Linked DNA regions of Oryctolagus cuniculus. The protein of the gene in region 1 purifies or fractionates together with the protein of each later gene. This does not show direct contact. Links are inferred from orthologs where the notes say so. Each region holds a gene or a part of one and is shown in the gene's direction. Other genes may lie near its edges. The genes, in order: IRF2BPL and VGLL4.

Region 1 (15,137 bases):
GAGCACCAGGGCTGCGCTGGCAGAAAGTGGAAATTGGCAGTCTTCCCTGTGCTGATTTTTTTTTTTTTAACGAAAATCTACACTGAGATCAAGGGCTCAGGCTTTATTTTCCAGCACAAATAGAACAAAAATTGTCTGCCGCTTAGGCGGTTGGATGGAGTTCAGGAAAACTATGTCTGGCATTAATTCCAAAGTGCAGGTTTTGGTTCAAGGGAGGCCCATTAATTTCAGTAAGCTGTTCCACTAGTCCAGGCCCCGCTGTGGAGGGACTATTTATTACCTTTTGCTAACCTGGTGTCTGCGGAGTTGTAGGGAAAAGGGGAGGGAAAAGTACCTAGGGTGGGGATGTCGCCATCTCCGAGCAGATGGGGTTTGCACCGTTTCTTTTGGGTCAAGTATGACAGAGAGATTTCTAACCTGAGTTTTCTGTTATCAGTACCAGTATATAGATTTTTTTTTTATAATCTATCTTCCAATGAATTAGAGAGAGAAAAAAAATCAGGGTGGAGAGGAGTCTGGTTTGAGCAGCTAGCTACCCACTTCCCGCCTCCTTTGGATGGCGCCCTCCCAGCCACAGGGGTGTTTTGTGCGCCTGTCCTGGGCTTCCAGGCTTCGGTCGGGCACAAAGCCCTGACATGATTCACCCTGGCCATCGCGTCTAAAATACACCAAGACAGTCAGTTTTGGCATTTGTTCTCCCTTAGGAATTTTACTAACTGCCTTAGAAAAGCACATAAATCACTCCCCCCTCCCTTTCTTTTTTCCATGCTTCCTCCCTGTATCCCTACGGCACCCCCCACCCCATTCCATCTTGATGTCATTTCAAAGAGGAGGATAAAAAGAAGGGATTTGTCAGGGGGTCCAGTTTGTGTGTCTCGCCAGGCCACACACACACACACACACACACACACACACAGACATACACACACACACCCCAGCTGAGAATGTTAATCAGAATTAAAAGCCAGTCAGTACCATTAAAGCATCAAACACGGGGCCTGGAGGAGGAGGGGTTGTGGGCACTGGGGGACCGGAGAGAGAGGGAATGAAATATCATTCGGTCCCTCCACGCAGCCTTACTCAAATAAAGGAGTGGCAGGCAGCGGTAGCCCGGATTTGGTCAGCTTGTCAAACGTCAAATTTATGGGGCTTTCCTTTTCACCGCCCCCTCCCCCGTGCGCGCCCCGCCCCGCCCCTACGCGGCCAAGTTTTGTGCGGTTCCCAAGTGTGATTAATCTCTGGCAAGGGCCAGAAACAGGAGTAGGCTTCTTGGCCTCGCGTTCCGGTAAACAATATGTTCTTGGGAAGAGCAGGGGAAGGGGGCCGAGGGGGTCATCTGTGGGCATGGCGGGGGGCGCTCCGAGGAGGAGGAGGAGGGCTGGAGGGGGAGGGGGAGGAGCCTCCTTGGGGTCGGCTGCCAGGCTTGCGCTCCCGGGAAACGCCAGCGCCCCTGTTTCGGGCGCGTGGTTTGGGTGTGGCTCAGGTTGCCTGCCCTGCAGAAGCCGAGCACACACTGGTTTCTTTCTTACCGCCACTTTTCGACGTCTAGGGGACGACGCGGGGGCACCGAGGGCTCGGAGAGGAGAGAGGGGCCCGTGCGCCCCGAGGCTATGGGCGGCGCAGGCCGGAGGGCGCGTGTGTGCCGAGCCCGCTTGCGCCCAGGGGAAACCGAGGCAGCGGCGGCAGGAGATACCGCCAAGCGGGACAGGGAAAGCCGAGGCTGCTGCAGACAAAGGGAGAGACGGTCTTCCTGCGTCAGAGCTCGCACCCTGGCATCCGTGCGGGAGCCAGGCAAACGGCGGCAGTGTGAGAGGGAACCCGGAGCCCAGAAGGCTGTGCCCTGCTGGAAGGTGTAGGGTGCAGACGCCCCGAATCAAAGGTGGATAAGCGGCTACCTTTTGGGAAAGGAACGGAAAAACACTAATAAGGGCCAGAAGCCTGCTGCTTCTCCGGTTGAAACACAAACCCATTCCTACCTCCTGCCTCTCCTTCCCAAGAACACATCCACCCAGCTCGCTCCTCTGCCCTCCATCCAAGAAGCCTCACCAGGCTCCCTTCCCTTCGGGTTTAATTACATGAAAATGCTGAACAAAACCTTGTAATTACACCCTTAGTCTCCGCCACTCAGGCCCAGCGCACTTCCTGCCTCGCTTTGTTTTTTAAAGAAGAGGTCATTGGCTCCTTTCTTTCCAAATTGCCCAAAACAACAACAACAAAAAGTAAAAGCCCCAGATAAATCCCAGGGCTAAGAGCCTCACCACCAGGGCTCGGGGAGGGAAAATCCTGGTCTCTCTAGCTGGGAGAGATGAGGAGAAAACAGCCCAAGCTGGCTGGTGTCTTGCGCAGGCTCCTAGGCTGTGGCAGCATGGGTGTCCCTACCAGAAGGGCACGGAGGCAACAGGCTGGCCACCCCTGGAGGCAACCCGCCGCGGCCCAGGGGAGGATGGTGCGCAGGGCTTAATGTCAGGCCCAGAGGGAGTTAGGGCTGCAAACGTGATTCCTGCCCGTGGCTCGCTGCCTGGCCGGAGCCCTGGGCCTCTCCACAAGGAATTTCACAGCAAGCCCCTGAAGCAGGGGAACAGGTTTGAATATTGACAGTTGGCAGGCAAGGATAGGAGGTCCCTGGAGAATAGATTGCTCCAAGTCAGTCACGTGGCTCATGGGAGTGTGGAACAAGCACTGTCTCCCATGACTCTGGGCTACTGCGTCAGAAAACTAGGACACCTAGGAGAAATGGAAGCTTCTCGATTCTGGGCTGTGCCTTGGTTCATCCTTAGATCCTCCAGCCCTGAGATGGAAAGCTCTCCCTAAAGGAACAGTTGGATAACAGAACGAACGGCAAATGGACAAGGAACGGGGATGGGGATGGGCAATGGAACCCCACCAGGTCGGTCACCAGGCAGCTTAAGCTTCAGCTTTGAAATCAAATGTAAGCCAAGAGGACAGTTCCACAGCCACACCCCCAAAACAAAGGGGGCTAATTTATGCTGAGCTCTGGGTCTGGCCAGAGAAGGAAGTTCAGGGGTAAGCTTGGCTCCTGTCAGGCTTGGGGGCTGGGCACAATGTTTCCTGGCGTTGTAGCTCCAGGAATGCTGAGGCCAGGTGCAACCCATCTTTATGCCTGCCAGGCTGGGGGTGCTTGGAAGCAGCAGCTTGCACTGTCATTGAGTGGCCCAGCCTCCCCCACCCCCGAAAAGGACAGCACACATCTGGTGAGCGGCCACGCAGTGTGCCCTGAATTAGGTGAAGGCAGAAGCTTGTTAACTCGTGTGAAAGGATGCTGGGGCCTGGAAAGAGGCTCCTTCCACTTTAAGACACTCCACTCATTTCCTCTTTCCTCCCTTCCTCCGTCAGCCCGTTACCTGAGTGTGTTCTAGGCCTTGGGCATCCTTCTTGGCCCCTCTGCCCAGGGCCAGGACTGTCTCAGGGGAGGCCAGGGAAACCCGGCTACCTAATGCTGCAAGCTGGATGGTGATCCATTGATGTGTAACCCCAAAACAACAAAGGGGGCTAATTCATCCAAAACCTCACATCTCCTGGGGCAGTAACCTGTGAACTCCTGTGTGTGTGTGTGTGGGGGGGGTTACTTTCTTGCAGTTTTTTAGAAGCATCTGAACAACCTCCCTCCTCCCCAAAAACCAGCCACTTGGCAAGATGTGAAATGGAGTAACAGGTTTGCAGCCAGACAACCTGGTATCCAGTAATCCAGGCCTCTGGGCCTGCTTTTCTGCCGAGACACCTACCTCACAAGGGCTGGCATGAGGTGAGATAACGTCTGGGCACGTGCCTTGAAGGCGTCATTATCCTGTGCACCACCACCGCCTGCATTTTCTTAAGCATATTATAACACCGCCTTTTCCATGAAGCCCAGTAATGCAGGCAAAGGGCAGGGCCACCATTCCCATTTTACAGAAACTGAAGTTCAAGTGATTTGCTCAAGGTCACACACAGCTCCTTAGGGTCTGCCAAGTCCAAGTTGAACGAGGTCATGTAAATAAACGCCCTCTCTTCCTCCCTCTCTCCTGAGTTTCCGGTTGAACTATACCCAGCCCAGGCAAATCAAAATATTTCAAAGTCCGGGCTCGTCCAGCCCCATCAGGCACGGCAGCGGCGGCTGCACACGAAGTGTACGCGCCGTGACCGAGGGACGGCCAGGCCGCGGGGAGGGGCCTCCCGCCCCGAGGTGCCGCCTTCTGCCGGCCCCAGCAGGAAAGCGCCGGCGGCTACGGGTCTCCGGAGCCTGGGAGTGGAAATCCCCCCGTTGGTGCGGCGGGTGGGAACCGGCTGGCGCTGCTGCTCCCTGCATAGCGGGGCGGAGAGGAGGGTCCGGGGATAGGCACACCTGTGGCGCTGCCGGCCACCCCGCCAGGGGGTCCGCTTACTCGCTGTCCAGGTTTCTTGGGCTGGGGGTGTTTGTTGTAAACCGAATGGATCGCTGAATGGCACCCCTGTCTGCTCTTCCCCGCGTTTTCCTCTCTAGGCCTGCTCCCTGGGCGGCTTACTCTGGGACTCTTTTTTTTTTTTTTTTTTTTTTATTCCTCTCTGTCTCTTATTTTTGGACCTAAAAAACCACTAAAGCTTTTTGCTGAGCACAGCGCAGGGCTCCCCGGTACCCTGGCACGCGGGCAAGGAGAGGAAGCAGGGAGGAGGCAGGAACCAGACGCGACTCTCCCCACCCCTACCCGCCCTTCTTCCTCTTGCTGTTCCCCGCCCCTCCAGGAAGAAAGCAGTCGGAGATCCGATCGCGATCGCCGGCTGCGGCCCCTGTGCCAGCACCAACCACTGCGCCCGCCCTCCCTTTCCTTCCACCCAGTTTTGCACGGAGCGCCTGGCTGCCCGCGCGCCCCAGGCTGGGCAGGTCCTGGCGGGCGGCGCTGGCTCCCCTCCCCCGGGCTTCTCAGCGAATCACGTTGTTCCTGGGATTTCACGCTCGAGTGGTACTTGCGTAACCCTATGCCCTGGCCTAAGTTAATGCTTAAAAAACAAAACAACACAACACAGCCCCAAACAGGATTAATCCTTTAGGGAAAGGCAAATACTTCCGTCAGGGACCTGGCCCAGGAGTCCAAGTGGAAATCACCTTGCTCCATTCCCCACCCTCCTCCGCAGCCCCTCTGCGCGGCTCTGCAGGCCTGGGGCGCAGGCCGGCCCCGGGATTCCTGGCGCGCGGGGATCCGGGACCCTGGAGAGGCCAGAGGAGGGCTCAGCGCAGACGTCTGTTTTCAGCCACTCTGAGGCGGCTCTCAGAGGCCAAAGAACGGGTCTTGCTTCCCGCGGGGCTGAGTGTTACCAAAAAAGGCCTTTCTCTCGCCGGAGCGCTTGGCGGCGCGCGTTGCAGCGGGGTGACGCGAGGTTCAGCCCGGGCCTCCTCGAAGGCTGAGCCAGCTGGCTGCGGGAATGCCAGGCCCAGAGCACCCCGCCTCCCTGCCCCCATCTCTGCCACAACACGGCGGGGGGCGAGAGCGGGGAGGCTGCAGGGAGCTTGCAAGTGTGTAGGCGCCCAGCGACCTTCTCACCCCAAACGTGGAGCGAGGGCGCTTGGGAAAGGGCAAGGGAGAGCTGACCTGCTCCAGTTTACGGCAGGGTGAGGCTGCCAGCTCAGGCGGCGAGCAGAGGGAGGCAGCCGCAGTAGCAGGCACTTGGGGGCACCGTGCGGGCACCTCGAGCAGATCTGTTGCCAGGCTTTCTCAGGTTGAGCACCCCCACATCAGTGCGTGTTGGCGGGGGAGGGCTCCATCTCTCTCACAATCTCTCTGACACATCCCCAAACAGCTCCACCTCGGTTATGCAGCTAAGCAGCAACTGATCAACAGAAATGATGGGGATTCTTGGAGGGGGCAGGGTAAAGAGAGAGCGGTGCTTTTTAAATTAGAGGATCATGAGAGCCTAAGAAAAGTCTGTTTAAACGCCCATGGACGTCTGCTTGAAGATGCTGGTGTGTGTGTGTGTGTGTGTGTGTGTGTGTCTCCTTCAGTAACATCGAAGACAGAGACAGGGAGACACATATGTGTGTGCATATCAAACATAACACGGACACAGCCTCCAACTCGCTTTCTCTAGCAGCCTGGCTAGAGGGCTGTGGCTAGTTCACCGTTTCCCCAGCATTTCTGGTTTAATCAAAGGAAGGGCTGAATAAATATTAAGGTAAAGAAATGGGTCACACAGCTGAGCCGAGGAGCCCCAGGTTGCCACTCGCTCCAGGATGGTGTGGTGGGGGAGGCTGAGGCATGGCTCTTACCAGAGGAACCACTGCTCTGAGCCAGCAGGACAGGGAGAGTTTATTATTGCTGGGGAGTGCACCGTGAGCTCACTGTTTTGCAAAAACAGAAGTCTGGCTGCTTTGAGAGGAAAGAGGCGGCTCCCTAGGGCTCTTCCTTTCCCCTGTCTCCCCATCCCTAACCCCCCCTCCCCTGCGGTGAGTAGGAGGGGGGTGCTGCAGAGTGTTGGACAGGGGGATATCTCCAGAGGTCAAGGGTGGAAATATACAAATATAAGCATTTCTTGTTGCTTCAACTTAACTTTATTATAATCAACAGCAGTAAGAATGATTCTTAGGTTTTATACAGTTAACAAAGCACTTTCACGCGTTAATCAGTAACAGTAACAGTATCAATACCAATACTAACCGTAATGTGCTGACAGCTTCCTGGGCTCCACATACTGCATGGGATATTTATGTCACAGTCCTGGCAGAAGGGGAGGCTGGGGGCCCGTTAGGAAGGAGCCTTTGCATACCTTTTTATCAAAGACTGTCTGCAACCAAGAATGGGGGCTGATGGGAATTCTGAGCACCCCAAAGCACCTCCTGCAGCCCTAGCTTTTGAAAGCCATGTCATAAATCCGAGTTACTGCACTTAGAGCCATCCCCATTGGCTGCAGGCAAGTTATTTAACCTCTTTACCTACCTGGTCTGCAAGATGGGGCTACTAACACAATCTCCCTTGTAGATAAGAAGGGTCCAATAACATAGATAATGGAACCTTAATAATGTAGATAATACACTCTCAATGGAGGGCATATTAACGGCAAAGCAAGTAAACTCCCGAGTGCAGTGTCTGAACCGCAAGCTTACGATGAGAAACACATTGGAAGCTCAAAGAATCCCCCAGGTTGACAGCTGTCACTCCATTCTACAGATGGAAAACTGGAGTTCTGTAAGTAACTAGTTCAAAGTGCCAAAGGCAGTGAGTGACAGGAAATTCTAACCAGGTGGGCTACACTCTGGACCCTGAACTCTCATCACAGTGCCTCACCTCCTCCAAGCTTGGGGGCAGGGAGGGCCATTGCAATTCTCACGAAATAAAAACAGCAGACCTAATAACTAGAAAAAAAAATCCATTGAAATGCCTTAACTAGAGCTATGACATATCTCTTCTGCAATAAGCAATAATGATGAGCAATGATCTTGTAAAAGAAAAAAAAAATCATGGCCTTACTCAGCCTTCTGGGGCACTACAGAATAAAATCGCAGCACGTGAGAGCCCTTGAAGGCTGCAGCCCTACTCTTCAAAAAAGCTCTCAGCGTTACCAAATGCTGCCCCCACCTGCTTTCACAAACCCGGAAAAGGCACTCACCTGTTTGGTCTCCGGCCCCTCCCCTCCCCGCCCTCCCGCGCAGCTGTGCGCAGCCCGCGGACCGGACTGTTTTCCTTAAAGGCCTCCGGGCGCTCGTAGTTTCTCCAGACATTCAGCCAGAATTTTCATAGTTCGGCTCGGGGGAGGGGTGGCTCGCCCTGAATTCATTTAGCGCCACCACTGAAGCTCGGGTTCCTAGAGCAGGGCACAAGAACACATCGCAAAGGCGATTTCTGGAAGACTGGAAAACAGCTAATTTAACAAGTGCCTCGGCATCAGTGGTGCCGAGGCGGCTCCCCGTGCGCAGGGAGGGAGGGAGGGGCGAGGCGACTGCAGGTGGAATGGGTGGGGTGGGGGTTCGATCGCAGATGAAATGAGTAACACCTTATGTGAAATTCTCAGCGAAAATCCTGAAACAGGACATTTAAATGAGGGCCTGGGGTGGGGAGGGGAACGCGGATCGCCAACCACGCCTGCGGTTCCTGCAGGCGTTTCTACTTGGGAAAGCCGAGCAGGGAGAGGAAAGGTCATCGTCTGTTTCATTTCCACCCCCAGCCCCGGACTCGCAGCCTCAGCTCGCCCAGCCCCAGAGGTCGTACACACACACGGCGAGGGGGAGGGGAGGGCGGCGGCGCGGAGGAGGGGCCGGCGGGGAGGAATCTGGGCGTCCTGCCGCGCATGCGCCCTTCCAGAGCAACAAGTGGGCTCCACAGACAGAGGAAGTGTAAAGGGGGGGGGGGGACTGGTGCAGAGCATGGCGGTGACGTCAGCGCTCCGCCCGGGCGGCATCCCGCGCGGCCAAGCCGGGGACAGCGCGAGCCGCAGCCCGAGCAGGAGCGCCGAGACGCGCCTCCGGAACGTAGAGTAACAATCACAACCCCACATTCCGGGCGAGCGCGAGCGGGAAGGGATGCGACCCGGGCCGAGGCGCCGCGCGAGCGCCCTGCAGCCGACGTGAGCGCCGCCAGCCGCGGCGGCCCGGGGGCGGTGGGAGCCTGCCTGCCTGCCTGCGTGCGTGCGCCCCTCTCCTCGGCTCGTGTGCGTCCTGGAAACGGTGGCCGTGGCGGCTCCCTCCGGCGCACAGAGCCAGCCGCCGCCCGCGGAACGGCAGACGCTGCGGAGGGGAGAAGCGCCTCGCCCGGCTGCCACCCCCTGCCCCGGCCCTCCGGGGAAGCAGCGGCTTCAGCAAGACTGGATCTGGGCACCGGGTGGCACAGCCCTCGAGCCCTCGCCCCGGGGAGCCCGGCGGGGAGAGAGGACGCGGCTCGCAGGGGGGCCCCCCGGGGGAAAGGAAGAGGCAGCCCCTTCGCAGCTTCCACGCAGCGGCCGCGCCGGGGAGGGGGCCAAGAGGCAGCGACGGCCAGCACGGGGCACCCTCGCCCCCTCCCCCCGGGCCCGGAGCTTCCACCCTCGGTCCGCGGCACCAGGAAGAAGGCGCCCTCGCCCCTCTCCCGACACGACCGCCGCAGTAGGAGGTGGGGGCGAGCAGCAGGCTGAGCGTGTCCGCCGCCCCGGCGGTGGAGCCCCCACGGAGAGGCGCAGCGCCCGCGGCGGAGACTCGCGCTGCCTCCAGCCCCCGGGGCAGAACTTTCTCGCCCCCCCTCCCCCCTCCCCCGCAGCCGGACTCCCTCCCCGGCCAGCCCGTCCTCCCGGAGAAGGCGCCGCGGAACCAGCCCGGGCGGGGGCCTACCTTCCCCAGGGTCGGCATCATGTCGGCGGCGCAGGTGTCCTCGTCCCGGAGACAATCCTGCTACCTGTGCGACCTGCCTCGCATGCCCTGGGCCATGATCTGGGACTTCTCGGAACCCGTATGCCGCGGATGCGTCAACTACGAGGGCGCCGACCGCATCGAGTTCGTGATCGAGACGGCGCGCCAGCTGAAGCGGGCGCACGGCTGCTTCCAGGACGGCCGCTCCCCGGGGCCGCCGCCGCCCGTCGGGGTCAAGACGGTGGCCCTGTCGGCCAAGGAGGCGGCGGCGGCGGCGGCGGCAGCTGCGGCGGCGGCCGCGCAGCAGCAACAGCAGCAGCAGCAACAGCAGCAACAGCAGCAGCTCAACCACGTCGACGCCTCCAGCAAGCCCGCGGTGCTGGCCGCCCCGTCCGGCCTGGAGCGCTACGGCCTGAGCGCCGCCGCCGCCGCCGCCGCTGCCGCCGCGGTGGAACAGCGCACCCGCTTCGAGTATCCGCCGCCGCCTGTGAGCCTGGGCAGCAGCGGGCACACCGCGCGGCTGCCCAACGGCCTGGGCGGCCCAAACGGCTTCCCCAAGCCGGCGCCAGAGGAGGGACCCCCGGAGCTGAACCGGCAGAGCCCCAACTCCTCGTCGGCGGCGGCGGCGTCGGCGGCGTCTCGGCGTGGCACGCACAGTGGGCTGGTGACGGGGCTCCCCAACCCCGGGGGTGGCGGGGGGCCCCAGCTCACCGTGCCCCCCAACCTGCTGCCGCAGACGCTGCTTAATGGCCCGACCAGCGCCGCCGTGCTGCCGCCGCCCCCGCCCCACGGACTCGGCAGCAGGGGACCCCCGACGCCCGCGCCCCCAGGCGCCCCCGGGGGCCCCGCTTGCCTGGCCGGCGCCGCGGGCGTAGCGGCCGCGTCGTCCTCAGCGTCGTCCTCGACCTCGTCGTCTGTGGCTGAGGTGGGCGTGGGCGCTGGCGCCAAGAGGCCCGGCTCGGTGTCGAGCACGGACCAGGAGCGGGAGCTCAAGGAAAAGCAGCGTAACGCCGAGGCCCTGGCCGAGCTGAGCGAGAGCCTGCGCAACCGCGCCGAGGAGTGGGCCAGCAAGCCCAAGATGGTGCGCGACACGCTGCTCACGCTGGCCGGCTGCACGCCGTACGAGGTGCGCTTCAAGAAGGACCACTCGCTGCTGGGCCGCGTCTTCGCCTTCGACGCCGTCTCCAAGCCCGGCATGGACTACGAGCTGAAGCTCTTCATCGAGTACCCCACGGGCTCCGGCAACGTGTACTCCAGCGCGTCCGGGGTGGCCAAGCAGATGTACCAGGACTGCATGAAGGACTTCGGCCGCGGCCTCTCCTCCGGCTTCAAGTACCTGGAGTACGAGAAGAAGCACGGCTCTGGCGACTGGCGCCTGCTAGGGGACCTGCTGCCCGAGGCCGTGCGCTTCTTCAAAGAGGGCGTGCCCGGCGCCGACATGCTGCCCCAGCCCTACCTGGACGCCAGCTGCCCCATGCTGCCCACGGCGCTCGTGAGTCTGAGTCGGGCCCCCAGCGCGCCTCCGGGGACGGGGGCCCTGCCGCCAGCCGCGCCCTCGGGCCGGGGCACAGCCGCCAGCCTTCGCAAGAGGAAGGCGTCCCCCGAGCCCCCAGACTCGGCTGAGGGCGCGCTGAAGCTGGGCGAGGAGCAGCAGAGGCAGCAGTGGATGGCGAACCAGAGCGAGGCTTTGAAGCTCACCATGACCGCAGGGGGCTTTGCGGCGCCGGGACACGCGGCGGGGGGTCCGCCCCCTCCCCCGCCGCCGCCCCCGCCGCCGCCGCCCCTGGGACCCCATTCCAACCGGACCACCCCGCCCGAGTCGGCCCCCCAGAACGGCCCGTCCCCCATGGCCGCCCTCATGTCGGTGGCCGACACGCTGGGCACCGCGCACTCGCCCAAGGACGGCAGCTCGGTGCATTCTACCACTGCTTCGGCGCGGCGCAACAGCAGCAGCCCAGTGTCGCCGGCCTCCGTGCCAGGGCAACGCCGCTTGGCGTCGCGTAACGGGGACCTGAATTTGCAGGTGGCGCCCCCGCCGCCTGCCGCCCACCCGGGCATGGACCAAGTGCACCCCCAGAACATTCCGGATTCCCCCATGGCCAACAGCGGACCCCTGTGCTGTACCATTTGCCACGAACGCTTGGAGGACACGCATTTCGTTCAGTGCCCATCCGTCCCCAGCCACAAGTTCTGCTTCCCCTGTTCCAGAGAGAGCATCAAGGCCCAGGGGGCCACCGGCGAGGTGTACTGCCCCAGCGGAGAGAAGTGCCCCCTGGTTGGGTCGAACGTACCGTGGGCCTTCATGCAGGGCGAAATCGCGACTATCTTAGCGGGGGATGTCAAAGTGAAAAAGGAAAGAGACCCTTGAGCCTCGGGGTCGCGGCCCCCTGCGCCCCAGACCGGCTCTTTCGCGATCCGGAGGGCCCCTCCCCCGCCCCGCCCCTCCCCCCCAGGTGTAGAATTGTGAATATAACAACTGCAAAAAGTTAGTCTTCTGTATAGACGTTATTTTCGTCGTCTGTTTCTATATTTTGAAACAAAGGTATGTAGCTTCTTCATTTGGAGGATAAACTGGTTTGCGTTCAGCAGTATAATATCGGTTGAATCATTTCCATCACGTTGGTTCGCGTTGATTTGGTGGCAGAATGTTTGCCTAGGTACAGAATTAATAGCCCTTAGCAACGACTGCTGCTGGTGTGTATTTTTGTAAATGTTATGCACTCTCTGAAAGGAAAAACACACAAAAGAAAAAGACTTTTTTTTTTTTTTTTGCCAAGGCCAGTGTTGCTGCCTAAAAAGAAAAAATATATATGTTATACAATGGTGAGAGCTTCTTTCTAACCAGCCCCAAGTGTTGAAGTCTTCACTTTAGTTGGTTCATTTCTGTTTTTGTTTTGTTTTCCTGTTTAGTTTGCAACAGTGGTAAGGGGGGTGCTGGGGGGGATGGGTGTTTTCTGTTGCCAGTTCGTGGAGGGGGGAAATGTTTCGGTTTGTTTCTGCTGACCTGAATGTGCTGGGTCCTCACCGTGTTTTGTTTTTGCTTTATCGATGCACGGATGCTTTTGAACCAGTAGAGCGAAATGCTAGACATGGAGAATCTGCCGTTTGTCCTTTATACATTTCTGTAGTTAACACAACACTGTAATGTGCCTTGGAGCTTAGTAACTTGTAATAAATTCAATTGATATGAATTGGGCCGCGAGTCAGCAAGTTTGTCCTTGCGGGGCTGAGCCCGCGCAGCTCCCACGGCGGGGACAGCCTGCCCGCGACCAACGCGGAGCGCAAACGCGGGGGGGCTCGGGCAGGGGCCTGTGCGGCGGCCGCCCCTCCCCCTCGGCACACTCACCTCGGCTGGCCGGGAGACAATTGCTGACTAAGCGGTTTCTGTTTACTCTTGGAGGCCCAGCTGCGATTGGCAGCAGCGGGGGTGCTCTTGGGTGCCTTGACCTGGGAGCGTGAGTGGTCGCCGATGCCCAGGGAGGGGGGAAAGAGCTGGAAGAAAAGCCAGGGTGCTTTGCCTCGCAGGTATGGCAGGATTCACTGTTGCTGCAGGGTTACAAGGGGAATCCCAGGGGACTGGAGGCCCCCAGCCGTGTGGGCAACTGGGAAGCAAGGCAGGCACACAGCCAGGAGGGTCCCAGCTGCTTCCAGCCACACCGGCCAAGCCGTGTTCACCTGTGCATTACAAGTGTGTTTCTGTCCTGCTTCTTATAGTGTAGAGGCAGGAGGCTTGGTGGGAGGAGAAGAGGAGAAACCCAAAGGCAGTTCTTGAAGCCTGGGTTACCTGTGACAGTGAAACCCATCCCCCCAGGTGCAGAAGTGCAACTGTGCACCTACTCCACTTGGTGGCTGCAGGTGGAAGGGCCAGGCAGGGCGTGCTCAGGCTGTGCCCCCTGGGCTGACCCCAGACGAACCAGGGGCAGGCAAGCAAACCTGTTTTGAACCTTGGACTTTTCCTGGGAGGCAGACGGAAGAGTGAGGAAGCCAAACAAAACCGGGCAACCCTATCTGAAACCATTCCTGGCCACACCCCATTATTGGGCGGGGTGATCCCCAGACTGGAGAGTGAGGGAGGAAACTTGGCGCCCCCGCCCCACTCCCATCCCAGAAGGAGCAGGAGGGAGAGGGCTGGGGATGGGCGCAGGCACGTTTGGGGAAAAAATCACCGGTTAGCCCAGAACACCGGTGGAAGTTAGGCCGGTGTCGGGACTTGCTGCTAATAACAGCCTTTCGGTTTCTGTTCCTGCTTTGCTGCCACTGTCCCCCAAGTGGTGGAAACCAGGCCCCTGTGTGTGTGTGTGTGTGTGCAGTCTTAGTCCTGGTGCAGGGGAGGTACCTGCCTCACCTCTTTAAGAATCTCCCCGCTTATAAATAGATCTTCGTGTCAGCTTCCTGCAAATGCGTCCTTGCATTTTCATCTTTTGCCAAGTGTTGTATTGGTGCTTATGAGTCATGAAACCTATTTTCATCCTCCAGGGGTAATTAACTTGGGGTGATAATGCATAGCAGACTGCCGGAAGAGTTAATTCCAAAATCCATCCTCGCCTGGCTACCAATCACACATTTCACTGGAAGGTCTGGGTTGGCTTTTCTCTTAAGCTCATTAATAAAAACCAAGCCTGTTTCGCCTGGAAGAGCCTTTAAGATGCTCCCAGCGCACATGCTCTGAGCATGGGGAACGCTCAACAGCCTGAGAATCAGAGAGGGGGTCACAGGCGGGCGTTGTTTAACCACTGCTGGAGGAGGGCACAGTGGTGCAGCCATGGCCTTGAACGGTTTGGAGAAACGCAGATGTGTGCGTTACCTGTCTGGGAGCGGACCCTGGGAGTGGTGTCCGAGGGCTCCAGCTGGGAGGCTGCCTTGTTATCTGCCTCCATGTGCATGTGGACTGGTGCTGGCCTGTGACTGTCACCTTGCTTTGTTTGGTACGGTGCTCAGCAGCTTCTAGGACTGCAAGGCCCATGACCACTGGGACACACAGGTAAGGAAGGGGACCTGCCGGTAAGAGCGATGTCCGCCCCTCCCTGCGGCTGGGTGCTATTCTTAGCAGGAGACGGGTGGTTGTGACAATGAGGCTTCCAGCAGAGGTGGCCAGTTGGGTTTCAATGAAGAAGCCTGACTTGAGGAGAGAGGAGGGAGAGGATGGGAGGGAAAGAGCAGAACTCAGGCTGGAAGTGAAGTCTAATGGTGCAGTTAATTAAAGTTTACCATAGCCAGGGGCACTGAACAAAAGTGGTGCCCCCCACTCCCCGTGTTTTTGAACCACGTGACTTTGCTCTGCTCTGGCCCATGTTCTGGGTGCTTGATCCAGTTTTGCTTTGATCCCTCGCTGACGGTTTCCACGTTGGAAGCCTCCGGGAGCATTTTCCTCGCCGGGCACAGAGGAGTCTCGTGGGTTCTCAGATTCAGGGCCAGGCCTCTGGGTGATCCCAGGCTCTACTCTTCTCCATCTCACTCGCTCAGCCAAGATGTTCTAAAACCCACATTGTACTTGCAGGCATCGTTTGTGCAGCGCATCCAAGCCATGGGGTGGGACCGTGAGGATTCAATCCAGCAGCTTCGAGAGAACAGGAGGAGCCACGGGCCACACCAGCAAAGGCTGCTCCCACGCCCAGGCCGAAGCGCAGGCTTCCAGGTGCATTCTGTGTGCATCCAGGCTGCGCTGGCTGATGGAATGAGTCCTGAAAGTCACTTTGGTTTTCTTTTAGACTTCGTCAAATCAAGGGAGTGGGAACCAGGAACAAAGAACGCCAGGTTGTGATGTGATCCAAACCCAGGCACACTCAGAGTCCACGGGGAAGGATGACCACAAATGTGGAACAGTCATCTAGTGAAGTGTTTTCTAGACTTGTTA
Region 2 (15,134 bases), on another chromosome or scaffold:
AAATGCTGCATATTTTGTACCTAGTACCCAGTAAAAACCCATAAATGTTGTTTACTCATGCTTCAAATACCTGATAGGTCAAATTTCTAGATTTTTTTTTTTAACAAATTAGCTGTTTCTATCTTTTTTGTTGGTGTGGGTTGGGGAGCGGTGGGTAAAATTCAGAACCTGGGGGCAGGCATGGGCTTAGTGGGAAGATGCCATTTGGGGCACCTGCGTGCCACGTTGGAGTGTCTGGGTTTGAGTCCTGGCTCCACTCCTGTACCCGGCTTCCTTCCGGTGCAGCGACTGGGACGTAGCAGGTGATGGCAGAAGTGCAGCCCTGCCACCCCCATTGGAACTCCTGGATTCTAGCTTCAGCCTCATGTTGCAGGCATTTGGGGAAGGGACCAGAAAATGGGAGACCACTGTCTTTCTCTGTGTTTTTCAAATAAATAAGAAAAACAAACAGAAACATAAAACAATTTGAAAGTCTTTCAGATTTTCCTTAAAAACTAGTCTTTTGGTTTTTAAGTTATGACTGTATTGGCCTTAAGATCAGTTTAAGAAGAATTGACAGTTTCCAAGAATTTGGATTTTTTTTTTTTTTAAGATTTATTTATTTGAAAGGCAGAGTTACAGAGAGGGAGAGATAGAGAAGGGTCTTTGATCCACTGCTTCAGTCCCCAAATGGCCGCATTTAGGCAAGGCCAAAGCTAGGAGCCAGGAGTTTCTTCCGGTCCCCCATGTGGGTGTAGCAGCCCAAGCACTGCTGCCTTTGCAGGCACATTAGCCCAGAGCGCTGGGACATGAACCAGTGCCCATATGGGATACTGGTGCTGCAGGTGGTGGCTTAACCCGCTGTGCCACAATACTGGCCCCTGGATTTTCTTTTGGATGGTGCCCTGAGGTATAGTTGGAATCCAGATGGTCCTCACAGGTAAGGATCTGTGGTCCCTAAGAGGTGTTGATGGACATTTCACATGGAGCCGTATCATCCAGGTATGCCAGCAGTGAGGAGGGGGCAGATGGAGAGTCTGCCTCTTAGATGTGGGTTTTTTTCCCCCAAGATTTATTTATTTATATACGTGAGAGAGAGAGAGGCTGAGACCCATCTGCTGGTTCACTCCCCAGAGGCCCTTAATAGCCTGGGCTGGGCAAAGCCAAAGCCAGGCAGCAGGAACTCCACCTGTCTTTCATGGGAGTGGCAGGAACCCATACTTGGGCCGTGATCTGCTGCCCAAGCTAGAATTGGAAGCGGAGACGGGATTTGATCCCAGGCACCCCAAGTGGTGGCATCACCCAGTGGGCTACGACTCTGCCCCTAGATGTTTTAATCTTGCTGATTTTAATCAACAGGTATTTACTATTGACCTACCATGTAACAGACTGACCTTGAACAGGCTAAGAAGGCATAGCCCTTGCTCTGAACACCTGGACTGGTTAGGGTGAGAGCAGGTGTGTGGTGAACGGATAGTACAGGGGAAGGGGTGAGGGGTGGGAGGATGGGACCCAGGGGGTGTCACAGGACAGGCTGGAGAAGCTCCCATGCAGGGTGGACGTGCAGACGTGTCCTGAGGAGCAAGGCCATGTGACTGGTGGGGGGAAAGCACTTGGTGAAAGTTGTGAGGAGCTGGGGTGGACGGCCTGGGCCAGCCACGGAGGGCTTCTCCCGCTGCAGAGAGCTGCTGTTGCCACATAGGGCTTCCCCATGGAAACCAAGTTCTTGTTTGCTTGTTTGTTGTTTCAGACTTTGTGGCAGATTAATACCTTGTAAAACGCAGTGAAACTCAATAGCTAGAAATATGAAAAAAATACACCCTTTATTTTTTTTAATTGTTCATACTTGAGACTTAAAATTAGTCTTTCCTAGCACTATAAAAATTTCCAATTGCTGGTTCTCAGCTTCTCTCTCTCTCTCTCGGACTGGTGACAGCCTCTTCATGGTCCACACTGTGGCAGTCTCCCGGCTCAGAGAGGAGGGTGCAGCTGGGGCCTGGGAATTGATGCCAGATTGTTTTATTTATGTGTGTACATTTGTATATATGCATATTTTTAAATTTGTAAGGCAGAGATGGAGACAGAGCTCTCCCTTCATGCCCGCCACAGCAGGGATTGGGCTAGGCCAGGCCAGAGGCAAGGGCCGGGAACTCAATCCAGGTTTCCCCTCGTGGAAGTCAGGAACCTAATTACTTGAGCCATCACCAGCTGTTTGCCAGGGTCTGTGTTGGCAGGAAGCTGGCATCAGGAGCCACAGCTAGTCATCAGACGCAGGTACTTCAGCATGGGACTTGGCTGTACCCGCCAGCGCCTCACGGAAACGCAGGCAAGGTAGCGGGCGGGTCGATGCACCGGAAAGTGCCCAGGCCCTCTGGAGACCACTGCTGGCAGTGATGCCGAGTCATTAAAGGGAAGTTAGCAATCACTGTGCTCAGATCCGCTATGTATTTTTAAACACTCCTGAAAGCAAGCGTATCAAATGCAGTATGGAGGCAAGGGGTATCACCTTACAGGGTCTCCTGGGGCCCTGTAAAAGCCACAGCCGTGGGCTGCCACCCTCACATCACTCTGGGACACAGCCTCAGGTGCAGTCAGCTCTCCCCCCATTCTATGATATGCTGATGGTGTGCCAAGTTTTCTGATGGAGAATTTAGGTGAAAGAACCCAGCACAGCTAGTACTTGTCCAAAACTACTGGATGAATTTGAATCTGACACCTAAAGCTATTAAACTTGTTTTCAGAGCAATTTGTATGTACTAGACCTTGTAAGAATTTTCTTCCAACCTCCCCTGCCAAATATCATTATTAGACATGTTAAGATTTTTGGTTTTTAAATTATTTGAGAGTCAGAGTACCAGAGAGAGAATCTTCCATCCACTAGTTTGCTTCCCAAATGGCCACAACAGCCAGGGCTGGACCAGGCTGAAGGCAGGAGCCAGGAACTCCATCCTGGTCTCCTACTCTGGTGGCAGGGGCCCATGTACTTGGGCCAACTTCTGCCTTTCCAGGTGCATTAGCAGGAAGCGGGGTTGGAAGTGGAGCAACCAAGAGTCGAAGCAGTGCTTTCATAGGGGATGCCAGCGCCGCAGGCTGTGGCTTAACCTGCTGCACCACAAGGGGCGTTCCTACCATTAGGTATTTTATTTATTTATTTATTTATTTTTTGACAGGCAGAGTGGATAGTGAGAGAGAGAGACAGAGAGAAAGGTCTTCCTTTGCCGTTGGTTCACCCTCCAATGGCCGCCGCGGCCAGCGCACCGCGCTGATCCGATGGCAGGAGCCAGGTGCTTTTCCTGGTCTCCCATGGGGTGCAGGGCCCAAGCACTTGGGCCATCCTCCACTGCACTCCCTGGCCACAGCTAGGTATTTTAATTACTATTGTTGGTATCTTTCAGTGCAGCTTCTTCAGATCTACCAGATGCAATGTGGCATCAGTGAAGATCCTTTTAAAGGGAAGCTTTTGAAATATTTGTTCTTCTGTTGCTTACTTGGGCTGCTGTAACCCAATTACTACTGCAGTAGTGACGACAGCAATATTTGGGTGTCATGGGAATTTGCAAGTAATGTTTGGTTAGAACAACTTGTCCCAAATGTGCCTGTTACCCCAAATGCAACTCTTGTTGTATTTTCTTTTTTTTTTTTTTTTTTTTTTTTTTTTTTTTTTTTTTTGACAGGCAGAGTGGACAGTGAGAGAGAGAGACAGAGAGAGAAAGGTCTTCCTTTGCCGTTGGTTCACCCTCCAATGGCCGCCGCTGCAGCCGGCGCACCGCGCTGATCCTGGCAGGAGCCAGGAGCCAGGTGCTTTTCCTGGTCTCCCATGGGGTGCAGGGCCCAAGCACCTGGGCCATCCTCCACTGCACTCCCTGGCCATAGCAGAGAGCTGGCCTGGAAGAGGGGCAACCGGGACAGAATCCGGCGCCCCGACCGGGACTAGAACCCGGTGTGCCGGCGCCGCAAGGTGGAGGATTAGCCTATTGAGCCACGGCGCCGGCCCGTGTATTTTCTTTTTTTAAGGTTTTATTTTATTTGAAAGGCAGAGTGATAGGGTGAGGAGACAGAGATATTCTATCAACTGCTTAACTTCTCATATGGGGGCCGGCGCTGTGGCATATGGGTAAAGCCTCTGCCTGCAGTGCCAGCATCCCATATGGGTGCCAGTTCGAGTCCTGACTGCTCCACTTCTGATCCAGCTCTCTGCTATGGCCTGGGAAAGCAGTAGAAGATGGCCCAAGTCCTTGGGCCCCTGCACCCGCGTGGGAAGACCCAAAGGAAGCTCCTGGCTTCGGATCAGTGCAGCTCCAGCCGTTGCAGCTAATTGGGGAGTGAGCCAGTGGATGGAATACCTCTCTTTCTCTCTGCCTCTCCTTCTCTCTCTGTGTAACTCTTTCAAATAAATAAATATATCTTAAAAAAAAAAATTCTCAAATGGCCACAACAGCTGGAGCTGGGCCGCATGGAAGCCAGGAGCCAGGAACTCCATCCTGGTTTCCTGGCAGGGACCAAGCACTTGGGCCATCCTCTGCTGTCTCCCAGGCACATTAGGGGAAGTGGATGCGCAGTGGAGCGGTTGCCACCCTGGGCACTTGAACCAGCACGCACATGTGGCATGCCCTGGCTTTAACCACTGTGCCACGAAGCCGGCCCTCTTGCTAGATTTTTAGCACACAAGCCATCCTGTGAGGTTATCCATTTAAATACGGCCCACTCCTCCATGCTTGAAGAATCCTGAAAAGAAGCCCTAGGCTACCCCACCCCCTTTTTTAAAAGATTGATTTGTTTGTTTGAAACAGGGAGCGACAAGGCTTCACCCGTTGCCTTACTTTCTGAATAGCCCCAATGGCCAGAGCAGGGCCAGGCAGACATGGCACCAGGCGCTTCTTCAGGTCTCCAACCTGGGTGGCGAGGGCCCAAGCACTGGCACCTTGTGATGCCTCTCCAGGTGGCGTTAGCAGGGAGCTGGACGGGAAGTGGAGCAGTCGGGACTGGACCAGGAGTTCTAAGGGATGCCGGCTCTGCAGCCTGCGGCCTAACCCCGCACGCACTCCGCACGCGCGCCACAGCGCCAGCTCCAGGCCTGGGCTGCTGGTGGTGCCACCGCCGGAACCATGCGCGCAGATAAAACTGTCCCTCAAGGTTCCCACGTGCGGAAAAGCCAAGGGCTGCTGTGCCTCCGGCAGAGCTCCCGGGTTCTAACGGGGAGAGGGCGCCAGCCGCCCACCCGCTGGGGGATGGCGGGTTCTACTGGGAGAGGGCGCCAGCCGCCCACCCGCTGGGTTCTAACTGGGAGAGGGCGCCAGCCGCCCACCCGCTGGGTTCTAACGGGGAGAGGGCGCCAGCCGCCCACCCGCTGGGTTCTAACGGGGAGAGGGCGCCAGCCGCCCACCCGCTGGGTTCTACTGGGAGAGGGCGCCAGCCGCCCACCCGCTGGGTTCTAACTGGGAGAGGGCGCCAGCCGCCCACCCGCTGGGGGATGGCGGGTTCTAACTGGGAGAGGGCCTCAGCTGCCCACCTGCTGGGGGATGGCGGGTTCTAACTGGGAGAGGGCGCCAGCCGCCCACCCGCTGGGGGATGGCGGGTTCTAACTGGGAGAGGGCGCCAGCCGCCCACCCGCTGGGGGATGGCGGGTTCTAATTGGGAGAGGGCCTCAGCTGCCCACCTGCTGGGGGGTGGCGGGTTCTAACTGGGAGAGGACGCCAGCCGCCCACCCGCTGGGTTCTAACTGGGAGAGGGCGCCAGCCGCCCACCCGCTGGGGGAGAGGGCGCCAGCCGCCCACCCGCTGGGGGACAGCGAGTTATAACTGGGAGAGGGCGCCAGCCGCCCACCCGCTGGGAGAAGGTTCCAGAAGCTTTGAGTCCGCCAGTTTGGGGGGTGGGCGCTGGCGGTGACGGGGAGTGGGCTCCTAGAAGCCCTGCCGCCCGCCCGCCCGCCAGAGGACGGTGGGCTCGCCCGTGAGCCCGCGTCGCACTGCCCCGTCAGCCGATTACAGACGGGCGTCCACGCCGCGGACAGCTGCAGTGCACGCAGGCCGCAGGAGACGTTCTTAAAAAAGAAACAAAGACGCCTTGTGTAGCTCTACACCAAAGCCAAGCCCTTCGGGCTTGCAAAACCCCTAAGTGAAGTTGGCCGAAAGTTTCAGTGCGCTTCCATGATGGATGTCTTTTTCCTTTCTTTCCTCTATCCTTTTTTTTTTTTTTTTTTTTTTTTTTTTTACTTTACACTCAGCTCCTGGAAAAAAAGAAAGAAACTTCCGGGGCTTAACTTTCTCCTCCCACGGTCCTGCAGGGGCCCGGCCGCTTCCTGTCAGGCCGCTCTGCCCGGGCCCCCCTCGCGGGCCCCGCGCTCGGCCCCGCGCTCGGCCCCGCGCTCGGCCCCGCGCTCGGCCCCGCGCCGGGCCTGACGCCGTGCGCTCGCGCTCGCGGCCCGCCGGGCGCCAGTGCGCACGCGCGCGCCGGCGGGAGGAGGCCGCGGCGCGGACGCGTCCCCGCGAGCGTGGCCAGGATGTCCGCGCAGTCGGCTCGCAGCGGGCTGTGAGCGAGGGCAGCGGGGCTTTGTCCTGGGCGATGCGCTGCGGGGTCGCCGTTTTCAGGCCTCTGCCCCTGCCTCCGCGCGCCGCGCGGCCCCGTAGAGAGCGCCGAGACGCTCTCCGCATGCCCGAGTGAGGGTCGGCCGCCCGCGCTGCGAGGGTGTCGTGTGAGGGCGGGGGTTTTCGGGCGCGTGTCCCCCCTCTCCGTTTTGGTTTTTGGCTTTTTTGGTTTTGTTTTGTTTTGTTTTGTTGTGCGCTTCCGAGGCCGGGCCTCCGTCCCTGTGCGGTTTAAGCAAAAAGAGCCAGGAGCTCCTCCGTCAGCAACAAGTGATTGTTTGGAAACTTTTCCCTGTCGGGGGCGAGCGCGGAGAGCTGGTTTTCTTTGCGAGCCCGATAAATGCTATTGATGAAGATGGACCTGTTGAACTACCAGTACCTGGACAAGATGAACAACAGCATCGGCATTCTGTGCTACGAAGGTGGGTGTCGGCGGCCCGGCGGCCGGGGAGTGGCCGCAGAGGCGGCGGGGTGCGGGGTGCGTGCGCGCCGGGTCGGTCCGGGTCCCGGCCTGGGGCCGCGGCGGCCGGGGAGACGCGGACGCGCTGTGGTGCCTTCTTTTTCTTAACTTTGCTTTCTCTCGGCTTGCGGCGTCCTGAAATGTTTAACTCCCGAAGCACCCCCCCCCCCGTGTGTGTGTGTGTGTGTGTGTGTGTGTGTGTGTGTGTGTGTGTGTTTTGTTTGTTTCCTTGGCATTTTCTTCGTGGGGCGCGAGGAGAAGTTGGAACGCGGCTTCGGGCAGCGGGAGGAGGGCCGCGCGCCGGCCCCGCGCCCCGCACGACGCGGGCGCCCGCGAGGGCACAGGCCGGCCCTTTGTCTGGCCTCCCGCTTCCTGTGCAGCCCCGGGAGGCGGCGGGGCGGCGGGGCGGCTCCCCGGCCTGCTCGGCTGCTCTGCTCGGCGGCCCGGAGCTGACGTGCGCCCGGGAGAAGGGGCCATGGCCCGCGGGGCCGCGGCGGGCCGGCCGAGCGCTCGGCCCGCGAACTCCCCGTTTCTGCTGGAGGAGGAGAACGCTGACCCTGGCTGGGGGGAGGGGTGTCGGGTCGCTGTGTTTTTCTGGTGGAAATGTCAGGCCTGCTTCCTGTGGGTTGAAAACTTAGCTCTCCTCCTCAGAGGGAAGATCGCACCGAAGTTGCTGTTTCATCCAAATCTGTGGGTAGGGGTCTCACACCTAAAGTTCTATGTGTTCCTTTATTTTTAAGGACCTCTCTTTTCCACTCCGCCTCGTTCCAGTTCGGGGAACTTTGGCGAATTGCTTTCTTTGAATCTGCTGGGCCCAGGGTCATCTTGTTTCTGAACTCGCTCATTAAAAGTCCGATTTTTGTCCACGGCTGGGCTGCTTTCCTGTGCAGTTAACACGCTGCCGTCAGTTTTTAAAGATCATGTACCCACTGAACAAGAAACCAAGACTTCTAAGGTGGTTTCTGTTGCATTGTCTTTGTTAACACGTAATACGATATTTTAAAAACAAAGCCTAATGATGAGCCCAAGAGAGGACTGGAAGAAGGATGGTTAGGAAATCGATACCAGATTAATTTTTTATGTCTGCCGTTGGTAGAGGCAAGCCTGCCGTCGATGGCTTATCGCAGTGTAGTCAGTGACGTTCAACGGGACGTTCGGGAGAGTAGTCCCATCTCCTTTCCCTCCTGACTCGGGAGGAACAGACTCTGATTTTTGAAAGTTGAGCCGATTTGGTGGATAATAGCCTATAGTCTGTTCGGCTTAAACATCTGCTTCTATTTTCCTTATTAAGAAAGTTAACATTATTTTAACACCAAAATAAGTACACAGGAAATGAAGAAAAGCGCAGCAGAATTCCGAGTGTGTTTATAGTGAGTTGTTTACGTCCTGGTGGTCTCCTCAGTGTAAACATTGCACACATCTGGTCTGGACTCGGAAGGAGGTTTTGAGGACGGGCATAAATAATACATAGGATTTGGGGGCAGGAGAGGTGGGAGCAGTTGCTGTTCTTCTTGAAGATCTATTACTTGAGCGGATGCGTTTTCCACAGTTCAGCTCCCTGGCGTCCAGGCAAGTGAGTTGGAAGTGGAAGCTACCGTTGGTGGGCGACGCTTGGTATCCATTAGGGCCCAGGTTCCAGCGTTGTCAGGACACATAGGGGGCATATGCACTTCTGAAAATTAAGAAGTGGAGGGTTGACTTTTCTTACTGTGTCGGCTGGTTAGTCGCACCTGACACAGGTTGGTCCTGCAGTAGAAGCCACTCGTCTGCGCCATCTTTCTTGACTCCCCTGCAGCTTGAGAACCCCGAGTGGAAGGTAGGGCTGTGGACCACCTGCTTGGTGACTGCTCCCTGCAAGCTGAACTGAAAAGACAAGGGCACAGTGTACCCTAAAGTAGTAGATTTGGGCTGGGGCCTGATGGGTGTAGGTGGGGAAAGTAGGTGAAGGGTAGGAAGAATCTCAGTGTGGCCAACTTCTGGAAACTAGCTACCTTTGCTCAGGACCAGCCATGGGCTTAACTGAGCTTGCTGATACGGCTGTTCTGAGGCTCCAGCGTAACCACTCGTCCTCGCCTCCTTCCCCCGTCATCACCACTGCGCTCCAGGGTAACCACTTGTCCTCGCCTCCTGCCCTCATGGACGGTTGCACTCGTGTGCTCTGATGGCCCAGTGCTCTCTCTGTCTCCACAGGAAAGTCACAGGCCCACTCCCAGCCCTTATTTTCCCCTCTGAACTCCGAGCCCCACTGGATGGGTGGAAGCCTCCTGCAGGCAGGGTTCTTAGTGACCGCTGCCTCCCCTGGTCGCAGCGCAGTGCCTGATGGGCTCTAAGGAAGTGGCTTAAAATGAAGGCTGACTCACACACACACATACACTCACACACACACAAAAGCACAGTTTCTCCAGCGGTGGTTGCAGTCATTACTGTATAATTTAGCATTTAATGACATGATGTCTTGTGTTCTGTAATTATCAGCCTGCTGCAGAGCTATCCAGGGCCTCCGACATCATCTCATACCTTTGCCTTGTTTTCGCCAAGGCGACTGAGGGCTGGAGAAGTGTGTTCAGAAAGTGTTGAGGAGCTAAGCTGCACTTGGGGCCGAGCGGTTGTGACGGTGCTGGTTCTCTTCTATAAATTAGCGCGTGTCTTGTCTCCTTCATTACTTATTCGCTTCTTAATGTTAGGGACGTGGTCTGCTCTGTGTGCCTGCACAACCCCCGCATGGGATTATGTGCTGGGTTACAGCACAAGTTGAATCTTCGTTTGGTTCCTCATTGCCTGGAAGCCACCCGCTGGTCCAAGTGGAGGCCGTGGTGCTGCCCAGGAAGGAGTAGGTAATGGTGCCTCCAGGTGAGCGGCCTCGTTGGAGTTTGCCTCTCTTTCTGCCTTGGCACTTGGGTTTGGTTTCCTATTTTCTGACTGTGCAGGTAAGGAGCTGGTGGCCCTGTGGGCATGCCAGTGCCCAGAGTAAGCTCCTGGGAGCAGGGCTGGCCATTAGCTTTTCTCAAGATGGCTGACAGCTACACTCAGGTTCACCCAGTTCCTCAGTGCTCAGAACTTAGGGTCTAATAAATGTGCACTCGGCTGTGGCTTACGCTGCTGCTAGTGATTCTTTAATTACAAGTTAAGGGCCATTAGTATGTAATTTGGTAGAATTCTCTCCTTTTAATTTAAAAGCATAGTTTATATTGGAAGAGAGTAAGGATAAATTGTATATTGTGATTGGTCTTAAAGCTTAAGAGTATTCTGAGTTCCACACGTTATAGAACCGTTCACTGTTTTTGAGCATAATTAGCACTTGTTCGCTCACAGGCTGCACTTAAGTGAGCTTGTGGAGTCGGCAGGGACGTGCACACACGACTCCCTGCGTGGGGACTGAGGCCTCACAGGGGTTGGCGTTTGTTTCGGTGGAGCCCTGCTTTCAATTGTTTTTTTGTCTGATGAGCTCAGGGGGCAAAGTCCTGCAGAGGTGAAAAGGCCAGAGAGGAGAGTCATGTGTCCCCAGCCCTGCAGACCACTTGGGATCCAGGAGGGCCTCCTTGGGAACAGCTGTGATTTGTTTGATGTGAATTGTCTACTGGCAGGGGAGGTGCGGGCAGTGGGAAGAGCCTTGACGGCATGGCCCAGGTGAGCGCCGGAGCACTGCTTTCTGGGAGACCCAGTTGCGTTGTGTTTCGTCTGACAGCCTTGTGCTTGGAGGTGCCGTGCCGCCCTCCGTCCTGCCAGAGCCCCTCCCTTGTTTCTCAACCCCCTTCTTGAAGGATTATTTTCTTTGGCTGTTTATCTTTTGGAGCCTGTGCTTGGCTCGGGTGGGAAGGCAGGTTTCTTTTCCTTCCTTCTCCCCTCCCTGATTGTTCTGTGTTCCCAGGGTGCATGGATTGTGGTTGTGTGGTGACTTTTGAAAACGTGCTGCACAGATGTACTGCAGTTTTTGCTGGTCACCCACCAGAAGGACCCGGGCCTTTGAGGGTGTTGCAGAAAAGTAGGTTTTGTTGTAAAGAAATCAGTTGTATGCAGATGTAGGGAGTGTTTCTGACTGTTTGATCTCTCTGTCTGACATTTATTCAGTGGTGAATTGTATTTAATGATATCTGCATTGTATATTTTAGTTCATGGTAACTTTAAAAAAAAGTTTACCTATTTATTTGAAAGGCAGAGTTACAGAGAGAGAGAGAGAGAGAGAGAGAGAGCTCTGTCAGCCTTCCATCTGCTGGCTCATTCCCCAAATGGCTGCAACTGTCAGGGTTGGACCAGGCCAAAGCCAGGAGCTTTATCCCAGGTTCACACATGGGTGACAGGGACCTAAGCACTTGGGCCATCTTCTGCTGCTTTCCCAGGCACATTGCAGGGAGCTAGATCAGAAGTGGAGCAGCTGGGCCTCGAACAGGTGCCCAATTAGGACGCTGGTGTCACAGGCAGTGATTTAACCCACTGTGACACACCAGCAGTCCTCGTAACTGTTTTTTTAGCTTTGCTTAGCAAATTAAATTTGTAGTACTAAGTAATCCATTCACCCCCAATTCCGCTTTTATTTTTCAAAGAACTCACGTTAGGGTACTGCCCCTCCCCCTAAAACACAAAACACACACACACAACACACACACATGTACCATGGTGCATACCATGGTGCTTATTTTGAAAGCAGGACCTGAAAATGAAAATGATTTTACTTTATCTGTTTGCATGGGCTTCCTCTCTCCTGAATGTTTGAATGGTATGTATTTTGCTAAATTCTACAGAGTTATTTCTGTAAGTTTGCTTTGCTGTCTTGCCTTTTCTAAATTTTTAAAGGGATTTTTTTTTTTTTACCCTGAGATTGCTTTATTTATTTGAAAGGCAAAAGGAGAGACAGGCAGATAGATCTTCCATCTGCTGGTTCACTTCCCAGATGGTTGCAACACCTGGTGCTTGGCCAGGCCAAAGCCAGGAGGTAGGAACTCCATCTGGGTCTCCCTGTTGGGTGGCAGGGACCCAAACACTTGGGTCATTTTCCACTGCTTTCCCAGGCACACCAGCAGGGAGCTGGATCAGAAGTGGATACCGGAACTGATGTTCTGATATAACCCTGGTCTCAAAAGTGGCCTCTTAATCCGCTGCCACTATGTCAGCCCTCAGTTCTACAGATTGTTTTCAGTTCAGGATGCTATAGATAGAGTATTTTAATCCTAATCATTTGAATCAGTCTTAGTTGAAAAAAAACGTTTACTTACCAGTGATAAACTGTTTTCAGTTTGTTGCTATTTATATGTATAATCTTTCCAGACTCTTAACATTTCACCCTTGTGTTTGCAAGGGAGGCTGTGAGCCTAACAGACTGGAATTGGTGAGGACTCCCCACTTGTCAGCTGGAGTCCGTTCTGTTACACGTGGGATGCCTGCAGTCTGCCGAGCAGTGTGTCAGGGTGCTGTATCTCTGGCGTGCTGTGCTAGGAAGTATACTGTACGTACTGGGAAGTAGACACAGCCATGTGTAGTTTATAGGTACACAAAGCACCTCCATTTTATGTGTTTGAGTCCTGTGCAGCTGGAGTTGCCTTGTACGCCATCTTTTGTGTCTTTTTCACATCATGTGTTCTAAAGTGATGGACACGTCCCAAGAGGTTTGCTTTTCCGCATGAAGTCAGCTTATCTGAGAGAGAGAGAGAGAGAGTGTGTGTGTGTGTGTGGGTGTATGTGTGGTTGGGTGTATGTGTGGGGGATGGGTATGGTGTGGGTGGGTGGGTAGGTGTGTGGGTATGGGGTTGTGTGTGTGTGTGGGCGGGTGGGCACGTGTGAGGGGGTGTGGGTGGAGAATTGAGGCAGATGCCCCAGCCTTCCTTCTTAGTCACTACTGCTCCACTTCTCATTAAACTGAGCTGAGGATTCTTCAGCCTGAGTTGCCTCCGTGCCCCCCCCTTCCTATTTAGTTGACCTTCTTCCCCATCTGTGGAAGGTCTCCATCACCTGTGCTGTAGTGGAAAATTGTGTGTAAGAAACTGCTGCTTTTGGGAGAGTGCAGAGTGAGCATGGGTGGGAGATACTCGGTGTGAATTGGTCTGAACAGCAGCTTTGGTTCTGCATCAAGAAGCAATTTGCTTACAAGCGGAGACTTGGTCCAAGTCAACTTTGTTGCACTGCCAAATTTCTTTGTATGTAAAGCAGGGACTTTGTATTTTTATTTTATTCATTTATTTTATTGGACAGGCAGAGTTAGACAGTGAGAGAGAGAAAGAGAAAGGTCTTCCTTCTGTTGGTTCACTCCCCAAATGGCCGCTACGGCCGGTGCTGCGCCAATCCGAAGCCAGGAGCCAGGCGCTTCTTCCTGGTCTCCCATGGGGTGCAGGGCCCAAGCACTTGGGCCATCCTCCACTCCCTTCCCGGGCCACAGCAGAGAGCTGGACTGGAAGAGGAGCAACCGGGACAGAATCCGGCACCCCAACCGGGACTAGAACCCGGGGTGCTGGCGCCGCAGGCAGAGGAGTAGCCTAGTGAGCCGTGGCACTGGCCCTAGCAGGGACTTTTGAATACACGGAACAAGCTTTAGTTGCTTCAGCATTCAGACAGTGCTCTACGCTGTATACAGAGACAGCAACAGGGATCTGCAACAGCACTGTCTTCTACACAGTCTAAAATCATGAATGAAAAGGAATTAGCCACATGGATTGCCCTTGATTTTTATTTTATGTCTGCTTTGCATGAAAATAGTTTCCTGTTAATTCTTCTTGGCTGGCGACTTGATTTTCATGGAGTGGGTTCCAGAATGCAGTGGTCCCATGCACATGTGCTCTGCCAGGCAGTTTAGCAAAGCTGTTTACACTACCCATAATCCAGCTGGGCTGAGTGTCCTCCTTCCCTGGTAATAGTTAAGGGAGTGATGAGTGCAGATTTCTGGACATTTCCCCCTTTTTGAAAATAAACACATCTTCTATTATGTGGCAGCACCGTTAAAGTGACAAGGGCTGAATGTAAAGTTTTATTTTAATGTCAGCAGCTTTTCCTTTACCCGTTTTCTTTTGTTCTTCTTCTTGTTTCTCATAACTAACTGATAAACTACTGGCTGACCCCACAAAGAACCTTTGTTTTACTTTCCTGCTGAGAAACTGAGTCCTCCTTGCTGGTGCTTAGAACCACTGCTGAACGCGATCTGGTGCTGTTGCCCAGAGCATACAGCATAGCAGCTGCCCCAGGCCCTCCTGAATGGAGGTTAGAAAGGGTGGAGGACACTAGGTGTCCTCAGCATATAACCGGTTACAGCTTTTCCTGCACTGACCTGCTACATTCAGTATCCAGAGCAGTTCCCACCAGTGTTGGAGACCAGAGCAGGAGCTGTTTTTCTACCAGAGGCGTCATCCCAATAAAAGGTGGTTTATAAGGGTAGGAGAAGAGATGCAGTGAAGGAAAGTACTAGAGTAACAGTGGGCATCAAGCATTGCCGTATCATTTGTCTCTGATACGTTTATACATATTTGTATGTATGTTGTGTTCACGCATGTTTGTATGTATAATGTGCATGCATCTGTATCTTGTCCAGTAGAGTGCTGGCCTTCTTGTCCAGCTGGAAGAATCCTTATACATCCTCTGAGGAAAAAAATTGAGGATGTACCATCCCTTTGTTGGCTTTTCCTATCTGTGTGCTCTGCTTAGTCCAGCTCCATCCTTGTTTTCTTTCCCCAGGCTCTGTGCAAGGTGCAATCTTCATGGCTGCTCACAAGTCCCAACCTTCTGGCCTTCACGACTTAGGCATGATCTGTTCTTTTTCTTTAAAAAGATTTTTATTTATTTATTTATTTGAGACATAGAGTTATAGACAGAGAGAGAGGTCTTCCATCCGCTGGCTCATTCCCCAGATGACTGCAACTGCTGGAGCTGGGGTGATCCGAAGCCAGGAGCCAGGAATTTCATCTGGGACTCCCATGTGGTGCAGGAGCCCAAGCACTTGGACCATCTTCCACTACTTTCCCAGGTGCATTATTAGCAGGGAGCTGGATTGGAAGTAGAGCAGCTGGTGCTGGAACCAGTGCCCACATGGGATGCCGACGCAGCAAGCAAAGGCTTAACTTACTGTGCCACGGCACTTGCCCTGATCTGTGTCCCCACCCACCCAGTGTCCCTTCTTCGTTCCCTGATGTTTTCTC

What was found.
Region 2: the proteins of IRF2BPL (region 1) and VGLL4 purify together in Homo sapiens (affinity purification with mass spectrometry; 3 studies listed by BioGRID and IntAct, counting the BioPlex papers as one, with this or other methods). This does not show direct contact. The link is inferred for Oryctolagus cuniculus from reciprocal best matches to the Homo sapiens genes IRF2BPL and VGLL4.

The regions. Positions count from the first base shown.
Region 1 is NC_091451.1:22,812,207-22,827,343, reverse strand, and holds IRF2BPL (probable E3 ubiquitin-protein ligase IRF2BPL), read left to right. Parts: upstream 1-8,386; 5' UTR 8,387-9,284; coding exon 9,285-11,651; 3' UTR 11,652-12,478; downstream 12,479-15,137. UniProt on the Homo sapiens protein: Probable E3 ubiquitin protein ligase involved in the proteasome-mediated ubiquitin-dependent degradation of target proteins. Through the degradation of CTNNB1, functions downstream of FOXF2 to negatively regulate the Wnt signaling pathway.
Region 2 is NC_091441.1:115,533,693-115,548,826, forward strand, and holds the start of VGLL4 (transcription cofactor vestigial-like protein 4), read left to right. Parts: upstream 1-6,417; 5' UTR 6,418-6,900; coding exon 6,901-6,982; intron 6,983-13,200; exon of another isoform or gene 13,201-15,134. UniProt on the Homo sapiens protein: May act as a specific coactivator for the mammalian TEFs.